Rhinolophus ferrumequinum: one gene and its partner. The protein of the gene in region 1 purifies or fractionates together with the protein of each later gene. This does not show direct contact. Links are inferred from orthologs where the notes say so. Each region holds a gene or a part of one and is shown on either strand. Other genes may lie near its edges.

What was found. The genes of interacting proteins can lie anywhere in the genome.
Region 2: the proteins of JOSD2 (region 1) and AHCYL1 purify together in Homo sapiens (affinity purification with mass spectrometry; 4 studies listed by BioGRID and IntAct, counting the BioPlex papers as one, with this or other methods). This does not show direct contact. The link is inferred for Rhinolophus ferrumequinum from reciprocal best matches to the Homo sapiens genes JOSD2 and AHCYL1.

The regions. Positions count from the first base shown.
Region 1 is NC_046298.1:45,303,420-45,313,540, forward strand, and holds JOSD2 (josephin-2), read right to left. Parts: upstream 5,619-10,121; 5' UTR 5,245-5,618; intron 4,749-5,244; 5' UTR 4,735-4,748; coding exon 4,589-4,734; intron 3,038-4,588; coding exon 2,912-3,037; intron 2,025-2,911; coding exon 1,830-2,024; intron 1,748-1,829; coding exon 1,648-1,747; 3' UTR 1,494-1,647; downstream 1-1,493. Other genes in the region: ASPDH (aspartate dehydrogenase domain-containing protein), read right to left, coding at 5,901-5,944, 6,288-6,442, 6,512-6,732, 6,814-6,963, 7,057-7,141, 7,397-7,541, 7,760-7,814. UniProt on the Homo sapiens protein: Cleaves 'Lys-63'-linked poly-ubiquitin chains, and with lesser efficiency 'Lys-48'-linked poly-ubiquitin chains (in vitro). May act as a deubiquitinating enzyme.
Region 2 is NC_046305.1:41,996,473-42,006,593, reverse strand, and holds the start of AHCYL1 (S-adenosylhomocysteine hydrolase-like protein 1), read right to left. Parts: upstream 5,217-10,121; 5' UTR 4,859-5,216; coding exon 4,739-4,858; intron 1-4,738. UniProt on the Homo sapiens protein: Multifaceted cellular regulator which coordinates several essential cellular functions including regulation of epithelial HCO3(-) and fluid secretion, mRNA processing and DNA replication.

The DNA of each region.
Region 1 (10,121 bases):
CATCACCTCCTCAGATAAGTACAGGGCGAATGGCTTCCCTCTGTGTTCTGGGTCTCAGAGTCGGTTCCAATTCTGGAAAGGCCCCTCCCTTCCCCGCCCCTCCCCTCCCACTAGCCCTCTGGAGAGCTCCCCTCAGCCTTCTAGAGCCAGCCCCCCAGGTCCCCTCACTTTCCTGTGGCCCCTGGAGCACCCCAAGGAACCCCTGGAACCTGTTAAAGCCCCCCCACAGGGGGTAATTGTGTCCTCTTGTGTTTTCCTCCCCATCTGAGCTGTGGAGGGCAAGAGCGGGCTGCACAGGCCAGACCCAGAGCTGGGGCTCAGGAGATGAGTGAAAGGCTGCCAGAACAGGGAGATGCAGGAAGGGACAGCACGCCCTGAGGGGAAGGACACAGAACAGGAGGGGGCCTGCTCTGGTGAGAATGTGGGGAAGACAGCTAACGGGACCCTGGCCTTGCTCCTCTCAGATCCCCGCTGCCCACCCTGGGCATTGTATTCCCCCTTTGTCACCTCTCCACCTTCCGCTCCTTTCCTCTCCCTTTCCACACGAGGCCCCAAGGCCTTTGCACGGCCGCTCTCTTCCTGGAATGCTTTTCCTCCAGACCTGCCCATGGCGCCCTCTCTCTCCTCCTTCCAGTCTTTGCTCAAATGACACCTTCTCCTGGAGGCCCACCGCCCTAAATGAACCCTAACACTGCATTTGTTTCCCATGGCTGCTCTAACAAAGTTCATGGCTTAAAACAATACACATTTATTCTTTTAACATTTGTGGCGGCCAGACTTCCAAAATAAGTCTCACTGGACTAGAGTCAAAGTGTGGGCAGGACGAGTTCCTTCTGGGGGTCCAGGGGGAGTCTGCGTCCTTGCCTGTGCCAGCTCCTAGGAGCCGCTCTCATTTCCTGGCTCATGGCCCTGTGTGTTCCAAGCCCCCATGTGGGCGCTGGCTCTCAGACCCTGCCTGCTGCCTTCTTCAAGTCTTTCTCTGGCTTTGCTCTCCTACCTCCCTCTCCACCTTTCAGAACCCTCACCATCCTTCCTTCGGAGAGTGCAGGATCCTCTTTCTATGTCAAGGTCAGCTCCCAGAGCAACCCTGACTCCTTCTGCAGCCTTCACTCCCCTTTGCCATGTGACTGAACATATCCCCAGGTTCCAGGGATTAGGCCGGGGACATCTTTTGAGGCCACTACTGCAATTGAAGGAATAGAATTGAGAGTCAAGAAATAAACCCATGCTTTCTCCTTGGCACTTCTCTCTCCGAACACTCTACTGGCACCTATTTGTTCACTTCTGGTCTCTCCCTGCCACCGGAATGTGGGCCTCACGAGGGCAGGGAGGAAGCTGAGGTCCAGGGCAGTGTGACTCGCAGGAGGTCACAAAGCTGGGGGACAGCAGAGAGCCAGCATTAGGGTTCCTGGCATGGCCCGCCTGGGTGCCCGGCCTGTGATAAACAGGAGTAACTGAAGAAAAGGGGGCCCCAGTCAGACTCGGGCCAGGCCTGGAGCAAATCTGCACGTTTATTGAGGCAGCAGCGGCATTGGGAAGCAGAGGTGGGGAAAGGGGGAGGGGCCTCCGCAGGGTCCCTGAGGCGCAGGCACAGGAGCCGCACAGGGACACGCTGGGTGGACGGCAGTGGTTCCCTCCTCCACGGCGTCAGTCTGTGCGAAGCCAGCAGCCCGTTTCCTCCACGTCCCTGGTCACCACCAGCAGCACCTCACACAAGCCCTGAGCTAGGGCGGCTGCCAGGAAGGACCTGGGCGGACAGACAGGGAGACTGAGGTCCAGGGGGCCTCGGCTGGCCTCTGGGGGAAGGGGCTTCATCGCCTCCCCCTCACCTGACGCCGTCCTCATCCCCCAGGGCCTCAGGCGCCCGCAGCTTGGAGTCCAGGTTGTAGTAGACACCGTCCACCTGGCGCAGGGCCACCCAGTGCCGCCGGCGCAGGGGCAGGGACAGCAGCCCCAGCGACACGGGCGAGGGCAGGTTCAGGATCAGCCCCAGCACTTGGGGCAGGGCCAGCTGGGACAGGGGCCTGTGTGGGCGGGGCCGGACACGGGGGCAGGGCTGAGCGGCACTGAGCGTGCGCGGCCCAGGCTGACCTACAGCGGGGCCGCCTGAACCCACCAAGGACCCTCCTCAGTCAGCCCACCCTGTTTCCTTTAACTCACCTGTTCTCCCACCCACCCACCCACCCATGAAAAACCCCCAGCAGCCATCCAACGTCCTTCTACTGCTCATCCCACTACCTCACAGCCATCCAAGCCTCCGACCACCGTCCACCCAACTCCCCATTCCCTCCGCACACATCTACCATTGATCTGTCCTTTATCCACTACACACCACCCACCCACCACCCATCCGAAGTTCCCAAACAACTAACCGCCACTCACCATCCAATGCCCCATCTACTGTTCACCCAAACACCATCCACCCACTGACGCAGTCACCACCATCCAACCGGCCACCTACCTACCCACAAGCTTCTTCAACAGCCACCCAACTCACCCACTCTTTACCCCCCCATTACCCACCCACCCACCCACCCACCTATTTGCTGTCCACAGCCTATCAGGTAACTAGCCATCCTTTATTCTCTCAGCCACTCACGTACCATTCACACAGCCCATCACCCAATCACCATCTACTCAACACATCCAAGCGCCATTAACCTTCCAGTCAGTCACCCAGTTACCATTAATTTACCCAATATCCATCCATCAACCATCCAGAAACTCACACACCCTCCTGTCACCTCCCAGCCCATCAGTCTGCCAGCCATCGTCCACCATGGAAACCTTCCATCCCACTCCCTCTTCCTCCCTCCAGCCCACCCATCCCCTTCCTCCTAATTCCCTCCACATTGACCACCACCACGAGGCATCCACTATCACGTGGCACCCACGGCACCAAGCCTCCCACCTCCTTCTGTCCCACCACACTGCGGCCAGGCCCAGTCCCTGCAGTGCGGCCATAATCACGTTGACGTCATAGTTGCCGGTGCCCAGGAGGCTGCGATGGGGGTTCAGCCGGCAGTCGGGGGCCAACCTGGTTGGGGGGTGATCAGAGTCTGAGTTCGGGGTCACTGAAAAGCCTCCCCACAGAGCAGGAGAGTCCCAGGGTCCATGAGTCACCCACCCTTTGAGCTCTTCCCGCTCTTTAACCCTTGCGACTCATCAGCCCCAGGCCCTACTCTGCCTGTCCTCCAACCACACCTTCCTGTTCAGGCCTTGTCCTCTGCCACCGGGACCCTCACCCAGCCTCGTCTCCCCCCTCCGTCCATCTCCCACAGGACCAGGGGATCTTTTACACCTGGTGCTGACCCTGCCCTCCTCTGCTCCCAGCCCTGCCTGGTGCCCTGTCACCCCAGGATAGAGTGCCAGCCCCTCAGCCTGGCCGTAGAGGCCCCACATGGTCAGGTCCCCGCTGGCCTCCTAGCCTCAGCCCCCACCAGCCCCTTCCCAGCCACCTGTCTCCAACCACATCTCTTGTGATCCTGCCCCCAGCCTTTCCTCCAGCTGTCCCCCAGAGCAGGAGGGTCACCCCGCCAACACTCGTCTCTCAGCCCCGCCTCCTCGGAACAACAGCACCTCTGTTCTCTCTCTGGGCTCTTGGTGGTCAGAGCAGTGGGAGGGGTGGAAAGGACGAAATCTGTATATTATTTTTCTGTGTATTCTGTTTGTCTGGCCCCCTCAGGGCAGGGCTCGTATCGGACACATCTTTAGGTCTCCAGGATGGCCTTGGCACGACTGTGTTGAATGACACAGGAGATGAGTCAACTCTCTAATAACCAATCTGAGGGGATAAGACTCAGCCTGAGGATGCTGATGCTGGGGGCCCACGGGAGGGCCTCAAGCAAGAGAGAGGGAGACAGGGTCTCTTCTGGGTACAGGGCCCTGTGGAGCCTGCCCGGGGTGGAGAGACGGCAGGCTGAAGGGGGGATCCAAGGGACAACGGGTACTGAGCTGGGGCCAGGGCTGTGGGAGAAGGAGGGGGACGAGGCAGAGAGATAATAAAGAAGTGATGTTTGAAATCTTGAACAGTGAGGAGGAACATTCCAGGCTGCGAAGAGGACGAAGCCGTGACAGGCAGAAAGAACAGTTTGTGCAAAGGCCCAGGGGCATCATAGTGGGGGTCCTTTAGGGATGGGAGAGGAATGTGGTTTTTGGGGAGTAGTGAGATGTGAAGCTGCAGAGGCCAGTGGGGAACAGAGCACGGAGCGGCTTGGATATCAGGCTGCAGGCCTTGGGACTTCTCCCCAGGAAGCTGGGGAGCCACGGGAAGGCTGTGAGCAGGGGAGAGGCAGGGGCAGCACTGGGGCATGTGAGGATGGACTGGAGGAGAAAACCCAGAAACGGGGAGGCTAGAGGGAAAATGGGGACCAGCGCCCACATAAGAGAGGGTGAGGCCTGAGTTGGGGTGAGGCTTGGGGATGAACAGGGAGGCAACATGTCCATCTCTGAGTCCCAGCGTCCAGCTTAGGCATGTGATGGGGCAGCAGAAAGCCGCTGGGCTCTGCCCCTGCCTCGCTGAGACCCAGGTGGGTGGCTCTGCCTCTGTGAGCCCTGCTTCTCCAGGGGTTGGGTGGGTGACGGTCACCTCTTGCAGATCTCATCGGCAGCCTCCTGGCTAAAGAGCTGCTGCTGGAGGACGTTGTTGAGGGCGTGGATGGCACACAGCTCCAGGCGCTGCCGCTCATGGTACACGGGGAGCGGGCTCGGCTGTGCTCCCGGGCCCTGGGACATGCCGCCCTCGGCTCCTGCTCGGGGGGGAGGGGGAGAAGGTGTTCAGGGGACTGGGGTCTAGAGGCCCAACTTGTCAGCAGACCCTAGGGGCACCGCCATTGAGATTGGGGCTCAGAGCAGCCTGAGGGAACACTGGGCCCTTCATCCTTTTCCAGGGTTGCTCTTCTGGCAATAGGTACACCCTCCATCCTCCATTCCTAGGAAAAAGCCTTTTTCTGCTCACCTAGCAACATAGGAATACCCCCACCACATCCCTAAGTGAAAGGGTCCTATGGTGGTCACCTAGCAACAGAGAACCCCCCCACCAGGTAACAAGTCTCTCCTCTGGTTACTTAGCAACAGAGGAATTCTACTTTCCTGTCTCTAGGTAACAGGGTCTCTTCTGGTCGCCTAGCAACAAGACGACTCCCGTCCCCTGTCACTAAACAACAGGGTTTTCTCTTCCTGTCACCTGGCAACAGGGCCCCCTCCCCGGACACCAAGTAACAGAGCCCTTTCCCCAACCCGTACCCCAACAGCAGCGCTTGCCCGTTGCCCAGCAACGCCCCTCACGCCGCCTGCCTCTCTCCTCGCCGGAACCAGGGGCTCCCGCATCCCCCTGGGCGGCGACTGTAGGCTCCGAGTGTGGGGCGGGCAGCACGGCGCTGACTGGGCAGGCCAGACGGCCCACAGCTCCCGGCGGCCGCCGCGTGCCGGACTACGACTCCCGGCGGTCTCCGCAAGTGCCCTTACTCCGCACGGAACGTCTGGGCCAGCGTGGCCCGGAAGTTCCGCTACCGCTCGGAGACCGCGGGGCTGCAACTTCGGGGACTGTAGTTCTCCGCGGAGAATCCCGGAAGTGTGCCCTACAGAGTCCCCTTCGCTCACTACCACGCCCCCTAGTGCTCAGAGGATTCTGGGAAATGTAATGGGTCCGCTCTCGCGATAGCTTCCAGGCTTTTTGCTCCCGGGGTTCCCGCCCCCTGGTATGGCGTAATGTATAGTGCGAATGCGCAGCTTGACGTCACAGAGAATTACAAGGGAGTAGAGACACCAGGCTGTGCAGTAAGAACCTCCAATCTTTACTGAGACAGGAGGGAGGTCCGGGGAAACTGAGGCCAGGGCAGCTGCAGGACGGTGGTGGTGGGGAGGTAAAGGAGAGGAGGATGTCTTCTACTGAAGGCTTCTCAGCAGAGATGGATCCCAGGCCTTGAGGGGAGCTGGCAGCAGCCTGCGGGCAGATACGAGGGATGAAAGGCCGAGACAGAGAAATGAGAGAGAGACACCTGGAGGAAAGGACAGACCAAGGTTGGGGTGGAGGGGACCTAGAGAAAGGGACCAAAACCCAGAGTGGGAGAGAGACCCCGCAAAAGGGACAAAGACCTGGGGAGTGGACAGAGACACAGATAAAAAGATTCAAAGTCATGGCATAGAAGGTTAAGGAGATTCAGAAATAAAGGTCAACCAACAGACACAAAAGCAGAACTGCAGGATCGAGACCCAAGCTCTGCAGAGCGTAGAGCCCATGGCTTGGGGCCGGGGGCCGCTAGCACTGGGGAGGGGCCTGGCCTCACCCAGGAGGCTGCGCCAGAAGGCAGTAACAGTGGCTGAGCCGGTGACAGCGCCTGGCTGGGCGGGGTTCTCTCTGTGGGTGTGCACAGCAAAGCTCCGTCCTGTGGGGCCTGGGGGTCCGCTCAGCTCCACGTCCACCACATGCATGTCGGTGAGGCTGGGGCAAGCAGGGTGGTCAGTCTGGCTGGCCCAGTCCCAGCCCAAACTCCCAACCAGCTTAGCTCACCTGAGATCAGCCACAAGCACCCCGATCACACGGTCGAAGCCCAGGCTGGGGGCAGCCAAGGCAGCAGCCGCCATGGTGTTGGAGTTGCGGGGGGCAAATGGGCAGAGTCCACGGACAGGGCCTTCATACAGCACAGTGCGAGACCCGCTGCTGTGCGCTTCCGCCAGGGGTCCCTCAAGCCGGAAGCCATCAGGATGTGTGGCCATAGTAACACGGAGGCTCTAGAAGTAAGAGCCAGGGTCAGGGGGCCCTGGGGTCTCTGCAGGCCCCTTCTGGATCCTGGGGAGCCCACAGGCCCTCACCTGGAGGCCTCCAGCTGCATCCAGTCGGCTGATGTCCTCAGTACCCCACAGGGCCCCCCGGGCCACGAACACAGCATGGTCCCACTCGTGCGAGGCCTCCAGGAGCTGCTGTTCTGTGGCCTGGTTAGCGAGTGCTGACGGGGACCCCACCTGGGGTAGGTGAAGGTGGGAGGGACTGAGGTCGGGATGGGTAGATCCCACTTTGGGGTGGGGTGGGGCCGAGGCGGAAGAGGCAGGGCTCACCAGGAGATTGGCGTGGCGCAGGATCTGTGCCCCAGATTCGTGGATTATTTTGGGATGGGCCACTTCCACCACAAGGTCAGGGTGCCTGGGAGAGGGGAGAGATGGGGGAGGGCCTTGGAGAGGTATTAGGCCTCCCCTCCCCAGATTTCCTTAGTCTATAGAGGCCTGTCATTCTTCACCCTGGCCTGGGAGGGGGAACAGGATGTATGGGCTTGTCTCATTTCACATTTGGGTGAACCAAGGCCCAGAGAGGGTAAGGGACTCCCCTGAGGTCACACAGCAGCTAAGGAAGGCCAGAACAGGAGCTTCAGGGAGCCCCACTCATGGCGAGGTCACTGACCTCTCCCCAAGAGCAGCAAGGTTCTGGAGCTGCAGGGAGGGGGGTACGCTCCCCGTCATTCGTCCTGGGTCGCGATTCCAGACAAAAACAAGTTCTAGGCCTAGTTCTGGTCCCTGAGTCAGCAAATGGGAGACCAGGGACTGTCCTAGGGAGAGGGAAAGAAACTCAGAGAGGGGAACAGAGAGAGGGGGACAGAGACACAGAGAAGGATGGAGCCCTGTGGTGGGGAATGGAAGATGATCAGGCAGACAGACAGCCAGGGCACAGATAAAGGCATAGATGAAAGGTGTGTTTGTGGAGGACCTGGGGGCGTTGGGGGCTTCAGGAGGGGGCCTGGGGAAGAGGCCCCAGACAGGGACTCACCAAGCCGGCCGTAGCCCACCACCCCCACCCTCCGCGGGACCCTGTCGAGGGCCATGTCCTTGAATCTGGTGGTCTGCGATCCGAGCACCGTCGTCTGCTGACTGCCCCCCCAACACACACACACCAGGCCTGGGCAGCCGTTGATCTTTGGACATTTGACCCTTGAGCCTTTCCCAAGCTTTCCCCCTTCCCAGCAGAGGCCCAGAGGTGAGGGTGCAGATTTGCTGGGTGGGGGCAGGGTGACCATCCTGAGGGCAGTGGGCATGATGATTTGGGGTTCCACTGGCCCTGCGTGGCCCCCACTGTATGGGCTGCTTCTCTGCATGACTCCTTCCTTCCTGCTGATGTGGAAAATTTCCTCTGCAGTCCCCTGCCCCCACTTCTGGCCGGCCAGGTTGTCATGGAAACTGCATCCTGCTTGGGGTGGGGGTTGAGAGGGTTGGGAGCAGGGAGAGGAGATGGTGATGGGGCCTCTGGGCTCTCCGTCTGGCCCTTTGTGCATTTCCAGTGCCCATCCTTGCGGCTGCTGCCCCGCACCTCGGCACCGTGTTTGTCAACACTCAATGGTCCTTCATGTTGTGCTCCCTTTGGGTCTCTGTATCTCTCCGATCTCTCTCCGTCTCCATCTCTGTTTCTCCACCCTGGATCGCCATCCTTCCAGCCCCTGCCCCCATCTCCTCTGGGCTGGCTGCCATTCTGTGCCCAGCCGGGCCAAGACATCATTTCCTCCCCACCACAAGGTCCGAGGGAGGCCTGGCCTGGTCATACCCCGTCGTCTCCCCACATCGCAGTGGGAGATGGAGTTCCCCTCACCGCAGCCCCTCTCCAGAACCTCCTTCAGTTCACCTTGACTTCTCATCTTTCATCCTCCCCTTCCCCAGCTGTGCCATCTGGCCCCCCCACCCTGTGCTGTATTCTCACTCCCAAACCTGTCCCTCCCCACTCCCCACCTCCCACAGGTCAGTGAGAAGCCTTTGAGGCCTGGGGAGGCCATGAATGCCCCCCAAAATGAGCCTCAGCCAGTGCACCTCGTGGGTGCCCGGCATTGGAAATGGTGGAGGCTGCGGCAGTGTTGGTTCCCTGCCCCCAACTGCCACCTGGTACCCGCTGCAGCGTTGCCACGGCAACCAGGATTGGCTCTGAAAGAGGACCAGGGAGAAAGAGAGCATGAAAGAGGGAGTGAGGGGTAGAGTCCCAAGTTGACAGGCGACAGAGCAGACGTGCAGACAGAGAGCTTGGCAGCCGATAAGGGAAGAATTTGCTTTAGGAGCCTCAGGTGGGGGAGGAGATAAGATGCTGCGGGGCAGAAACAGACAGGGAGAGGGGCAGGGCCACCCTGGACTGGGGCCAGGCCCTCCCAGAGCACACCGGGCCCTGGTGGGCACCTGGGGGCTTCCTGCCTGCTCCGCATTCAGTCCTCAACTCCATGGGGCCTGAGTGTCGCACACAGCACCCACGCCTGCTGTATGTGCTGCCAGGTTGGGCTGAAGTGAGAGAGAACACGGCTGAGACCCAGCCTGCTCCCCGGCCTAGTGCTGTGTGTCCATGGCCAAGTCGGCCTGGACTGGCCCCTCATCCAGACTGGCCCCACTGCTTCCATCGGTCTCTGCCTGTCTAGACAGCAAGAGATGGCAGCCCAGGGGAGCCCAGCCCTCCCAAGGCTGAAATGCCAGCACCCTGGCCTCCCCCAGCCCCACCAGCAGCTGCCCACTGTCCTGGGTGGCCCCTGGGTTTGCTCCTACTTGCTGGCTCTGGGGGCTCTGCATGCGGCCCCCTTCCCTTCTGAGCACCAGCATAGTCCCCTCCTAGTCCCGGACCCCATCCGTCCTGCCTCTGCGTTAACAAGATGGAAGTGCAGCTCTGTCCTGCCCCGCAGGCCCCAGCTGCAGCTACAGCACCTCACACCACTTTACTCCTTCCCTCCCTTTCGCCTTCCCCTTCCCTGTGTCCCGCCTTCTCTGTGGCAGTGTCTTGAATGGGTTTGCAGTGGGGATGGACGCTTTCTGGGTTGGCTCTGTCATGGGCTGAACTGTGTCCCTCAGTAAGATGTATTGAAGTCCTGACCTCCATACATAGTCCTGTCTATGAGTGTGACCTCATTTGGAAACAGTCTTTGTAGACGATCAAGTTGAGATGAGGTGATGCTGGAGTAGGGAGGGCCATCATCCAACATGACCCATGTCCTTATAAAAAGGGGGAATTGGGACACAGAGGCAAGCGTGCACAGAGGGAAGGCAATGTGGAGACACAGGGAGAACGCCTGGTGGAGATCGGGGTGACGCTGCCACCAGGCCAGGAACATCTGGTGCGACCAGAAGCTGGAAGAGGCAGAGAAGGGTCCTCCCCGACAGGTTCCAGAGGG
Region 2 (10,121 bases), on another chromosome or scaffold:
AGTCTTCAAAAACTTACAAGTAGCTGGGGGAAAAAAGATACCCTACAAAGAAATAATTAGAAAGACTTTTATTTAGTGATAATTAAGACCAGGAGGCAACGGAAAAATACCTTCAAACTATTAATAAAAATAACTGTCAACCTACAAGTATGTACCCAGCAAACCTATCTTCCAAAAATGAGAGCGAAATAAATTCACTTACAGATAGCAGAAAGGAAGGAAGAAGAGAGGGCGGGAGTCAAAGAGAGAAAGAGAGAGAGAAGAGAAGAGAAGAGAAAAGAAAGAAAAATAGAGGCTTAGATAGGTTAAGCCACTCATCCAGTCATACAGCTATTAAATGGTAGAGACAAAGTAAACCTGACTCCAAAAATCAAATGCTTGACTTACATTGTACTACTCACAGTTTTAGGAACAAAAAGGAAAAGTTAAAGAGGTTTCAGGTAACAGCCAAGCAACAGTGGGATGGCAGAAAACTACCTGAATGAAACAAAAGGAAACACGGAAACAGAAGAGAAAAGGTGACCACAATTCCACGTGAAGTTTTAACTGCTCACCATACACAAGGCACTGAGAGTGTTGACGAGAGCCTGAAGGACAACCTGTGCTAAGACTTTGTCTTTAACTCCGGATTCTCAGATTTCAGGTTGGAAAAACCTCTGGTGAATGCAAATATATTGTTCTTCATACAGGATGGGGATGCTTCTGACCCACCTCAATATGATGTGTTCTAAATTACAAAATTTTAATACTCAATATTCCCAAACTTGAGAAACAGATAGGTATAAATGGTTCTACTTTACTGGCCAGTTCCTTTAAATAAGAGCCCTAAGAGAGCATTTCGGTACTTGTTCATAGACCATAACTACTTGAGGTGGCAGAGTAAACTTATGAGGAATCACAGGCAACTAAAGGTCCATATTCTATGTATCAAAATACATTAAAAACTTTACAAGAATGTTATACTGGGTAACTCATACTAAATCCACATGATACTCTCCTGATAAAACAAACGGCACACATTTACAATACTGCCAGAAAGGGATCTAGGCAATGAACAGATTGCTCTGTTACAAGTTAAACCTCTAAAGGAACTTAGAACAAAGTAATAATGGAAACTAGTATCAAACTAAACAGAATCAAGTAAGAAAAAGAGAAGTAATCAGTATCTGTGGAGAAATCTAAACAAGATAGGATCTTCTTACATGTCTGACTCTTGTTCAAAGACTGACGCTAAAACAGAAGCCACTCTAGAGACTCAAGAGATACTACTAATGATGTGGAGAAGACAGGAAATGTCAACCTATCAAATCTCTTCTCAGTGACTCTAAGAAGTACGGGTATAAATTCTGCACCAAGAATAAGCTACATAACCCTTAAGAGGAGGACCCTGGGTTCCACCCAACAGGCTAACATTTACACAGTACTCACTGGGGCTCTACCTAGTATGCTTCCTAAGTCTCAGCCAACCCCTTTGATGAATTAGTGCAATATATGCTTTATTCAAATAAAGAATATCCTATGATCAAAAGTAATTTCTTTTGCGTTCTTTCTCTTCTTCAGCCTCCTGTGCTGCTGGTACAGGTCTGCATAAATCCTAGGTCAAATGCCTAATGCATCACTCCAGAGAGCCTCCTCTCCTGCCCCCACCAAATGTTCAGAAGTACAGAGAACAGCAAATGACCTGACAGGCCTGCCAGAGAAAGATGTCTACCGTAGGAAGTTTTATCAACAAGATGAAGATTTGGGTTTACCCTATGGAAAAAAAATCAACTTGACATAATCTCAATTTCCCAAGGCCCAAGGTGGCTATCACCTCTGCAATACGAAGTAGCAGAAAAGGTATGTCTTCATCCACCTTATTCACTGGATCTGGCACCGTCCGACTTCTGGCTCTTCCCCAAGGTCAAAATGACCATGAAAGGTAAACATTCTGAAGCGATTCAGGACATCGAGGCAGCCATGACAGCGCAACTAGAGACACTCATGAAAGAGGACTTCCAGAACTGCTTCCGAAAATGGCAAGAACAATTGGATACGTGTGTTTGAAGTGGGGGAGAATATTCTGAGAGGGATTGATGGGACTATGGCTTTCATTGTAATAATTTTTTTAAAATTTAGACATTCACTGTATTTTTTGATTACACCACATAGCACTGTGGCAGACAGAATACAAAACCGAGTAAATTATGATTATAATTGAAGAATCTCAGTATTTGACGGACATCCATTCTTCCCCAAAGAAAACAAAATTTCACCAGTTACACTGGAAACTGATCTGAGGACTGTCAAAGTCACCCTGAAGTAACCTATACCCTCTGACTGGCACCAGAAATGTCCTCAATTCCCAAGGGGCCTCAGGGCTTCGTATGCTCCAGGAATTAATTGGTCTAGAGAGCCATACCAGAATCCTCACAGGTGAAGGACAGCACCATTTGAAGAGGCCTTTTTCTCACATGCCAAGCTACATTTTTTCTCTTACTTTCCTCATGCTTTCTCACAGTATTAACGCATGGCACAGGTACAAAAGTGACTTAGGTCAACATATCCGATTCAGCCAAAGTTCTGAAAAAATGGATCGCCTAGAACTTGCTGCTATATGACCTTGATTAGTCCTCGACCAACTCATCAACTAAATAAATGCCTTTTATCATCATTGGGGAAGGGTAATTAGTCATCATAAAGCACTTTAATACAAAGTGCTGTGTAAATGCTAAACAATAAAAGCTCAGAAAGAGCAAGATTAATAAGAAACACGGGGACACATTTACCAGCAAATGGAAATTTACACGGGGTCTTCCCCAATTCCTAGCAGAGACTGCTTCTGTCAGCTAATGGAATGAATCTCTAAAATCATTAGCACTTGGCCTGACAATAATACATTAGCAATATTCCTCCTGGGAAGAAAAGAGGAAAAAGGATTATTTATTCCTGGTAGGCAGCCATACAGACGTCTTAATTGCTAGTTAGCCAGGCGGGCACTTATTTGAGTACCTACTGGATGCTAGGTACAGACAGTTAGGCACACTGCATACAATGGTGAACCAGAGTCCCTGCCTTGACGGAGTTTACAATCTACAATACAAACTTCGTCTTATTAATAGCAGCATTTCCAAAAATAAAGGTTTACTAAAATAAAGGCAAGTACGAATAAAGGTGCCTAATCCCTGAAGCAACCAAAGGAGGGACAGGCTAACGGGGAAGAGGAAGAGTTCAGGGAGTTAGGGTACCAGCGATTTCCCAGGTCTTTTCCCTAACTCATCACAGGCACTGCCCTTAAGCATTCTGCTTATAAAGGCTGTGTCTGTGTCTCCATATAATGCAGATCGCAAAGGGTTACTGCCCAACAAAGCAGTCAGCTGAACTGAGAGCACTAAAAATAAGCTTAATCAGGCTCCTTAGAATCAAGGGTTTTTCTACCACCCTTTTAAAGGCATTCTACTAGTAAGATCTCAATTTCGTGAGAAAATGGAGTTAAACCACAGAATCGTGACTTGTCTTCTCGATCCTGCATTTGATTTCTGGAGAGGTGGATTAATTTCCTTAAAAAAAGTTCTGTCTCCCATTTAGGACAGCTTAACTAGTTCAGATGAAGGAGCCTTAAGGATTGTTAACCATTCCTGCAAACCTGGCTTTGTTCCTGGCTTATACAAGCACTGTATCCATCAAACGCTGTAGGCAGGGACAGCCTTGAAACACTTTTTATCCAAGAGGGAAATATTTATCCAGGTTCTCACTGGTTTCAGAAAGGTCACCTCTCTGCGAAGGTTCTCTGGTGTACTGTTAAGTGGATGCCAGGTATGTGGAAAGTCAAGATGTGGTTGGCAGCAAATGCTCAGAAAGCACCAGGAATCCTAATTCCACCATTCTGAGAGCTCGTTAGACTGAAAGCTCCAAAGGTTGCCATTTAATCTTCCACGCACGACAAGAGAATGAGAAGGGCGTCCTTTGAGCTCAACCCACAGTACAATAGAGGAAACTTGTTCTGCCTCAATAAGTGCAGGCAAGAATGAGCAATCGCTCCATACCACCCACCCGTCCAACCCACCCTAGCTCCCTCCTCAAGGAAAGCCCAAGTGGTCTATTCACGACTCTGCGATCAACCTGTATCCATGACAGTGTCTCCCGTCACCAACCTCCACATACTAATTTTTTACGGGTGTCGAAGCAACTGGATGACTGTAGGTGAAAAATCACAGTTTTCTTTTCAATCTCATGATGCCCTCATTGCTTTCCCCTGCATAACAGAGCTAGCTCCACGCATTTTTCCCGCTTGTCTCCAGGCTAGCACGCAGTTGTTGGATAAACCGGCCACTGCTTGCAAAGATTTGCCTACAGAAGCTTTACCAGATTTACCCACTCATTTGAAAGGAGATTTTCTGTACACCCCCATCCCCTGGGGCTGGCAACAAGGGTCAACTGAGTTGGTCCGCCCCCTCCGACTCCCGTCTTCGAGGCCCTTCACCCCAGAAAAGTCACGGACAAATTTAAGGCCCAGCCCTGTCAGGTTTCAAAAAGATCCCGAAGGACTGGGGCCGAGGGACAAAGGAAAGTGAGGTCAGGGGCGGCCTCTCCAGCTCGGGATAGGCCTGGGGCCGCTCACCCGCCACCTCTACCCCATCTCAGTCGTCCCCGATCCCCTCGCCCCAAAAGTCGCGAACTAGCTGGAGCCCGGGGCTCGCTCGCGCCCCTTCCGCGAGGCCCCAGTCCGGGCCCCCGCCGCCACCCAGAACCCCCGCACCTTCTTGGGCGCCTTGGTGACGGTGGCCATGAAGGAGTACTTCTCGGCGTCCTCAATCTCCTTGGCCTGCTTCAGCTCCTCCCCGACCCCGGGCAGCGGCATCGCGTCAGGCATCGACATCCCCCGGCCGGCCGGGCCCGCGGCTGATCCGCCGCCCCCGCCTCTTTCCCTCTCGGGCGTCCGCCCACCCGCCCGCGCGGAGCACTCCGACACGCGCTCGCCCACCCTCCCGCCCGGCTCCACGCTGAGCCGCGTCCGGTGCCGAGGTGCTGGGGCCGGCGCCTCGTCCGCTCCGCCGCCCGAGACAGCCGGACAGCGCGGCGGCGACAGGAGCCCCAAAAGCAGCAACGCCGAGCTCCGACCAGCCCGCGCAGCCACCTCCGCCGCACGCACACACGCACGCAAAGTAAGGGTAGAGGGTGGTGACGCCACGTCAAGTACTGGCAGCTCCGGGGCGGGGAAATGGGCGGGGAGAAACGGCGCTGGGTCATGACGTCACCACGCAGGACTGGGCCCCTGGAGCCACCCCTCCTACTTCCCAGCTCGCGGGTGAAGCTGCCAGAGTGAGTGGGCTCCGGGGCGCCGCCAGGTGGCGCCATCAGCCCTGTGAGCGGCGCGTGGTTCCTGCAGGGATGCCGCAGAACTGGGGAGACTGGGCTGTGGGGTTCCCCGCAAGGCCTCAGAACGGCGTAAGGGGGTGCTTGGGATCAAAGACCAGAGCTCCACACGACACATCCTGCAGCCAGTCCTAGGAAACAACGGGGCCTAAGACAGCCCACTCACTCACTGCCTCCGACCCAAGCCCTTTAGACCAGAAGCCCCTTCCCAAGGGGCAGTGTTTGCCTCTGACTCCGTAAGAGTGGGCAGAACAGACTCAGAGCAATGTGGTTTCTGCACAACCTTTTGTGACCTCCTCCACCGCTGTCTTCGCTGGGCCTTGCCTGTTTACAGACCTCTAGGCCACAGAGCTGATGTTATCTGGCCATTGGGATAGGGCTAATGGATCAGAGGGGTGGAGAGCAGGAGGGGGGAGGGGGCAGTTTCCAGACTGAAAGGCTTTCCTGCTTCGCGCCTCCCTCCCTCCCCGCCCCCCATTAGATTCGGTCAGCTACCAGTGTGGCACCCAGGGCGTTCATGGACCATTCACATGTTTTTATTGGGCCCTACTACGTTCTGTCTTTGTTCTAGGCCCTGGATAGTAAAGATCCGCGTGATACATTTTATGTTTTGCAAGGCTTAGTCCAGCTGGAGAGGCAAAGCATATCTGTAACCTAATGTCACCTAAGGTAGCGTGTCCTTGGAGATTCAGATGACATTGTCTTGAACTCCCACGTCCTGTGGAAAGTCCAATGCCCTCCCCAGGATTTCAGTGTATTACTGGGGGAACTTTGATTTTCCTGGTTACCTCCGGCTCTAGTTTTCTGCCTCATGCGAAGTGTTATTCAGTGTTCTGGTCTGGTGGCTGTTTCTTTAGTTCCTGCGGTCAATTCACATAGGGAACACAGCCCTGTTCTTTCCAACCCCCACCCCCTATTCCAAAACAACCACACAAATAATGCTATAACATGTAGTAGAACTTTTAATGAAAATTTGTTGGCCACAGGGGAGAGATTACATCATACAGCAAACAATTTAAAATCACATTTCTGAAATGTTCTGAAAAGTTATTTTGGCTATATCGTCACCTGGGATTTCTCGTTGGCGACACCACCCCACAAAGCTCCCCAGGCCATTGTGTCTAATCTAGCTTCCTCCTGCTACTCCCTTCCCATCCTCCGCCTCATCTCCCTTCCTGGATTGACTCTGGGAAGCCTGATTCTTTGCTCTGTGATGAGTATTCGAGTCTTCCCAGCTCTCTTTTCCTAAATTACCACCCCACCCCACCCCGCAGTCCACCTTTTTATATCTAGAAACCCACTCGCTATCTGACAGGGTCAACTCTTTCAAGAAAGAAGTTGTGGTTTTCAACACTGGTTTATTTTCAAGGTTGGGAAGAGTGTGAAATACTTGCCTCTGGGGCCCCAGAAGTCTTAGTCACAGAAGCCCATGTTCCAACCACCCAGCCCCGCCCGTGAGGCTGTCTGTTTAAAAGTGGACGATGGAAGCTACTGGAAAGATGCACACTTCTGCAAATCCTGATCTTTACTGTTAGGAGTCTCTCATCTGCCCACTCTTCGAAGCCCCTCGTCTCCTCTCTCAAAGACATTCCTGTAGCAGAAGGGACAGAAAGTTGGGGGGGGTCGGAATACCAGATTGATTCAGAGGTGCCACTGGTACCTACCTCTTCGTCTCCCAGCTGGAACCAGGAGTCCCCCTGCCCACCCAGGATGCTTTGGGTGTACAGCGTGAAGTAGGTTTCATCCTGTGTGTCTGCCCAAACTGTCATCGGATCCCAGGAACCAGAGCTGCCTGCTCAGAGAGCAGAGGCAGAGCCAGTTGGAACAGAGGTCAAACTCCACATCTTTCGAATAGGAAAACACGTGGCTTAAGTTAGCTTGTTTTAAAACATAAAAGAAAAGCATACATGTGTCTGTCCTTTGGATTTGATTTTCTAAACTCCCGTTGTCCAAGAGCTTAGTCTCTGCCCTGCATGTTAGCATTCAAACTATGAGATTCCTCGAGACTGAAGTTCAGCCTCTCTTTTACTCCTCAACCAAAGTAACAGGTTTCCCGTAAGAGCAGGCTCACAGAATTGACTGTTGCTGAGGATGGTAAAGACAGGGCCCTGCCTAGAGGAAGAAATACCTCTGCGGTTGGAGCCAAGAAGGAGATCAACAGGTCCAACTCCACTTACCTGAATGCCTGGCCCACGGGAGGCTGGGAAGGCTGACTTAGGGAAATTGGAAGTGCTTCGGCTGGAAGGCAGGCTTACACTGCCCTGGTGGAAAGGCAGCAGGGGCCAGCGCCAAGGGCATTCCTGGAAACCAGCCTGCTGTAGAGGACATGGATGCTTGCCATTCCCGGTACCGTCAGTGGACTGGAGATCAAAGAGCTCACCCAGCCCGAGAGTGTGATGACATATCAGTGAGAAACACTGTGTGTTGCCCCCACTCCTAGATGGCCCCACATGGCCCCGCTAAGGGGGTTGCCTCTCATGGATGACGAGAGCTGCCTGTCTTCAACACCACCCGCCTCCCCCCCACCGCCCCACATCTACCTGGTGACTCAGCACCTGTGAAATGGGTCAGGAAGGTGTGTCAGGGCTCACTGTCCTGAACAGCATAACCCTCACACAGATCAGAGAAGAGACCAGGGGCCAGTGTTTGAGGAGCGCAGGGACCAAGGAGCGGTGTACTTGTGTGTGGTGGGGGCCAGGCCTCTAAGTGGCCTCTAAATGGCCTAAAGGACTAGAGGGGACCCTGCTCTAGAAAGGAGTAGAAATGACTTGGAAGACATTCTTATCAGAAATGTGGTGGCACTGGGGTACCACATGTGGGCTTGGTCTGGTTTATCAAATTCAACCCCCAAAATCACCTTCCACATTCATTCATTTTTTTTTTTTAATTCATAAAATATACATCAAATGCTGATGATATGCCAGGAGCAGCACTAGATCTTGGACTACAGGGACAAATGAAGTCCTGAGCTCTACCTGGGGACCAAGGGTAGGGGTGGGGGTTGAAGGGATGAGCAAGAAAGGCTTTGTAGAGGGAGACCTGCTTGACCTGAACTCTTGACAGGTAAGCAGCTGGACAAGGTAAGGAAGGGATTCTAGGCTGAAGGACTAGCATGACAAAAAGCAGGACAATGAAACAGCTTGACGTATTACGGGAACTAAATATTTCAGTGTGGGTGGGGCACAGGGTGCAAAGTAGGGCAGAACAAGGGCTGAGGCCAAAGCCAGGTCCTGCAGAGCTTGGTGAACCACGGGTAGACAGTGGTGATGTCCACCAGGATGGGGAAAGCGGGAGGAGAAGCAGGTCAGGGTGCAGGGGCTGCTGAGATAAGGAGCCAGCTTAAGGCATGTTGACTTTGAAATGTTTGTGGAGTTCACTGTCCCCAAGTCCCAGGGGAGCCTAGGTTGGCACCTCTCCCACCCATCTGCTCCCCGCCAGGCTGGCATTCCTCAAGAGTAAGGCCGTACTCTCCCTGTAGCTCCTTCACCTCCTGTGGCCAGGTCCCCCTTTAGTCCTCTAAAATGAAAAGTGCAGAAAGATTGCTGGAGATCTTGGGTGACCATAGAAGTAAGGAAACAGGTAAATGGCTCTACATCCATCCAGCGGATGCCCTCCCATGTTCTTTCTGTCCCAGAACCACCACACGGCACACTCTGGGTGGCACCATTGACATTGTCATTGAGGTGAAGGGTGCCCCTCGAGCAAGATTCCAGATTGCCAGTCTGCCCTGCTGCTCCCCAGGGGCTCCCAGCGCGGGGTCCTCAGGCATGCCTGGTTCCTCCTTCCCCAGCTCCTTGGTTCCCCTCTTCCAGCTTCCCTGCCTCCCCTCTCTGCAATTCCAGCTCTTTGGAGAAGATGAGCAGTCCCCCAGAGGCCAAGAAAGACTCCTTCTCTACCTCCTTTGCTTACTATGACATTTATTATTTATTGTGCTATTTATCATTATTTCAAACATAATCTTTATCGGAAAAGAAAGCCTGTGAAGATAAAAATCTCTTTATATATCTCTAAGTTCACTTCTGATTCCTGTTAATTTGCAGGTGTTCACTTTTACATACCTGTGATCAGCATGTCGTTTGTGTTCTGCTTTGATCAAATTGCGATATTTCAAAGTGCATTATTGTTTACATACCTGTCGTCAGCATTTCCTAAGTGCTCCATCATATTGCCATAGGAATTTTCTCAATTGTTTTTTTTTTATTGTGGGGCATTTGAGTTGTTTCTAACTTAATGCAATATAAATACAGTGTGTATCAGGGTAGGCGTCACAGTGGGAGGGGCTTTCAAGCCAAACAGACAAGGTTGGATCACAGCCCCAGGTCCTGCCAGAGAGAAGGAGCAAAAATGTAAATAATGGGGCCAACTGTCTTGGCTATAAAAAGGGCCCGGGGGGAAGTTCCCTTATGGCTGTAAGGGGACATGAGGAGCAGTGCCCCCGGAACTCGTGATGGCTGACTCTTGGGGAGGCTGCATGGTGTGGAGGGAAGCCGGGCATCTGGGCAGACGAAAACGTGGCCTCAAGTCTTGACTCTGCTACCAACTAAGCTGCTGGGATCCTGGGTCTTTCTGGGTCTGTTTCCTCATGCAAAACGGGGTGATTGCTCCTCCTCTGGGGCTTGTGATGATCCCGTCCAAGAAAATAATAAGTATAAGAGAGCTTTGAACAAGTTACAAGTATTGTGCAAACATAAGTCACTAAGATGTGGTTCCAGACTGAAAATCTGGAGGGGAAAGGAGTTATTGTCGTGAATTTGGAATTCTCTCCT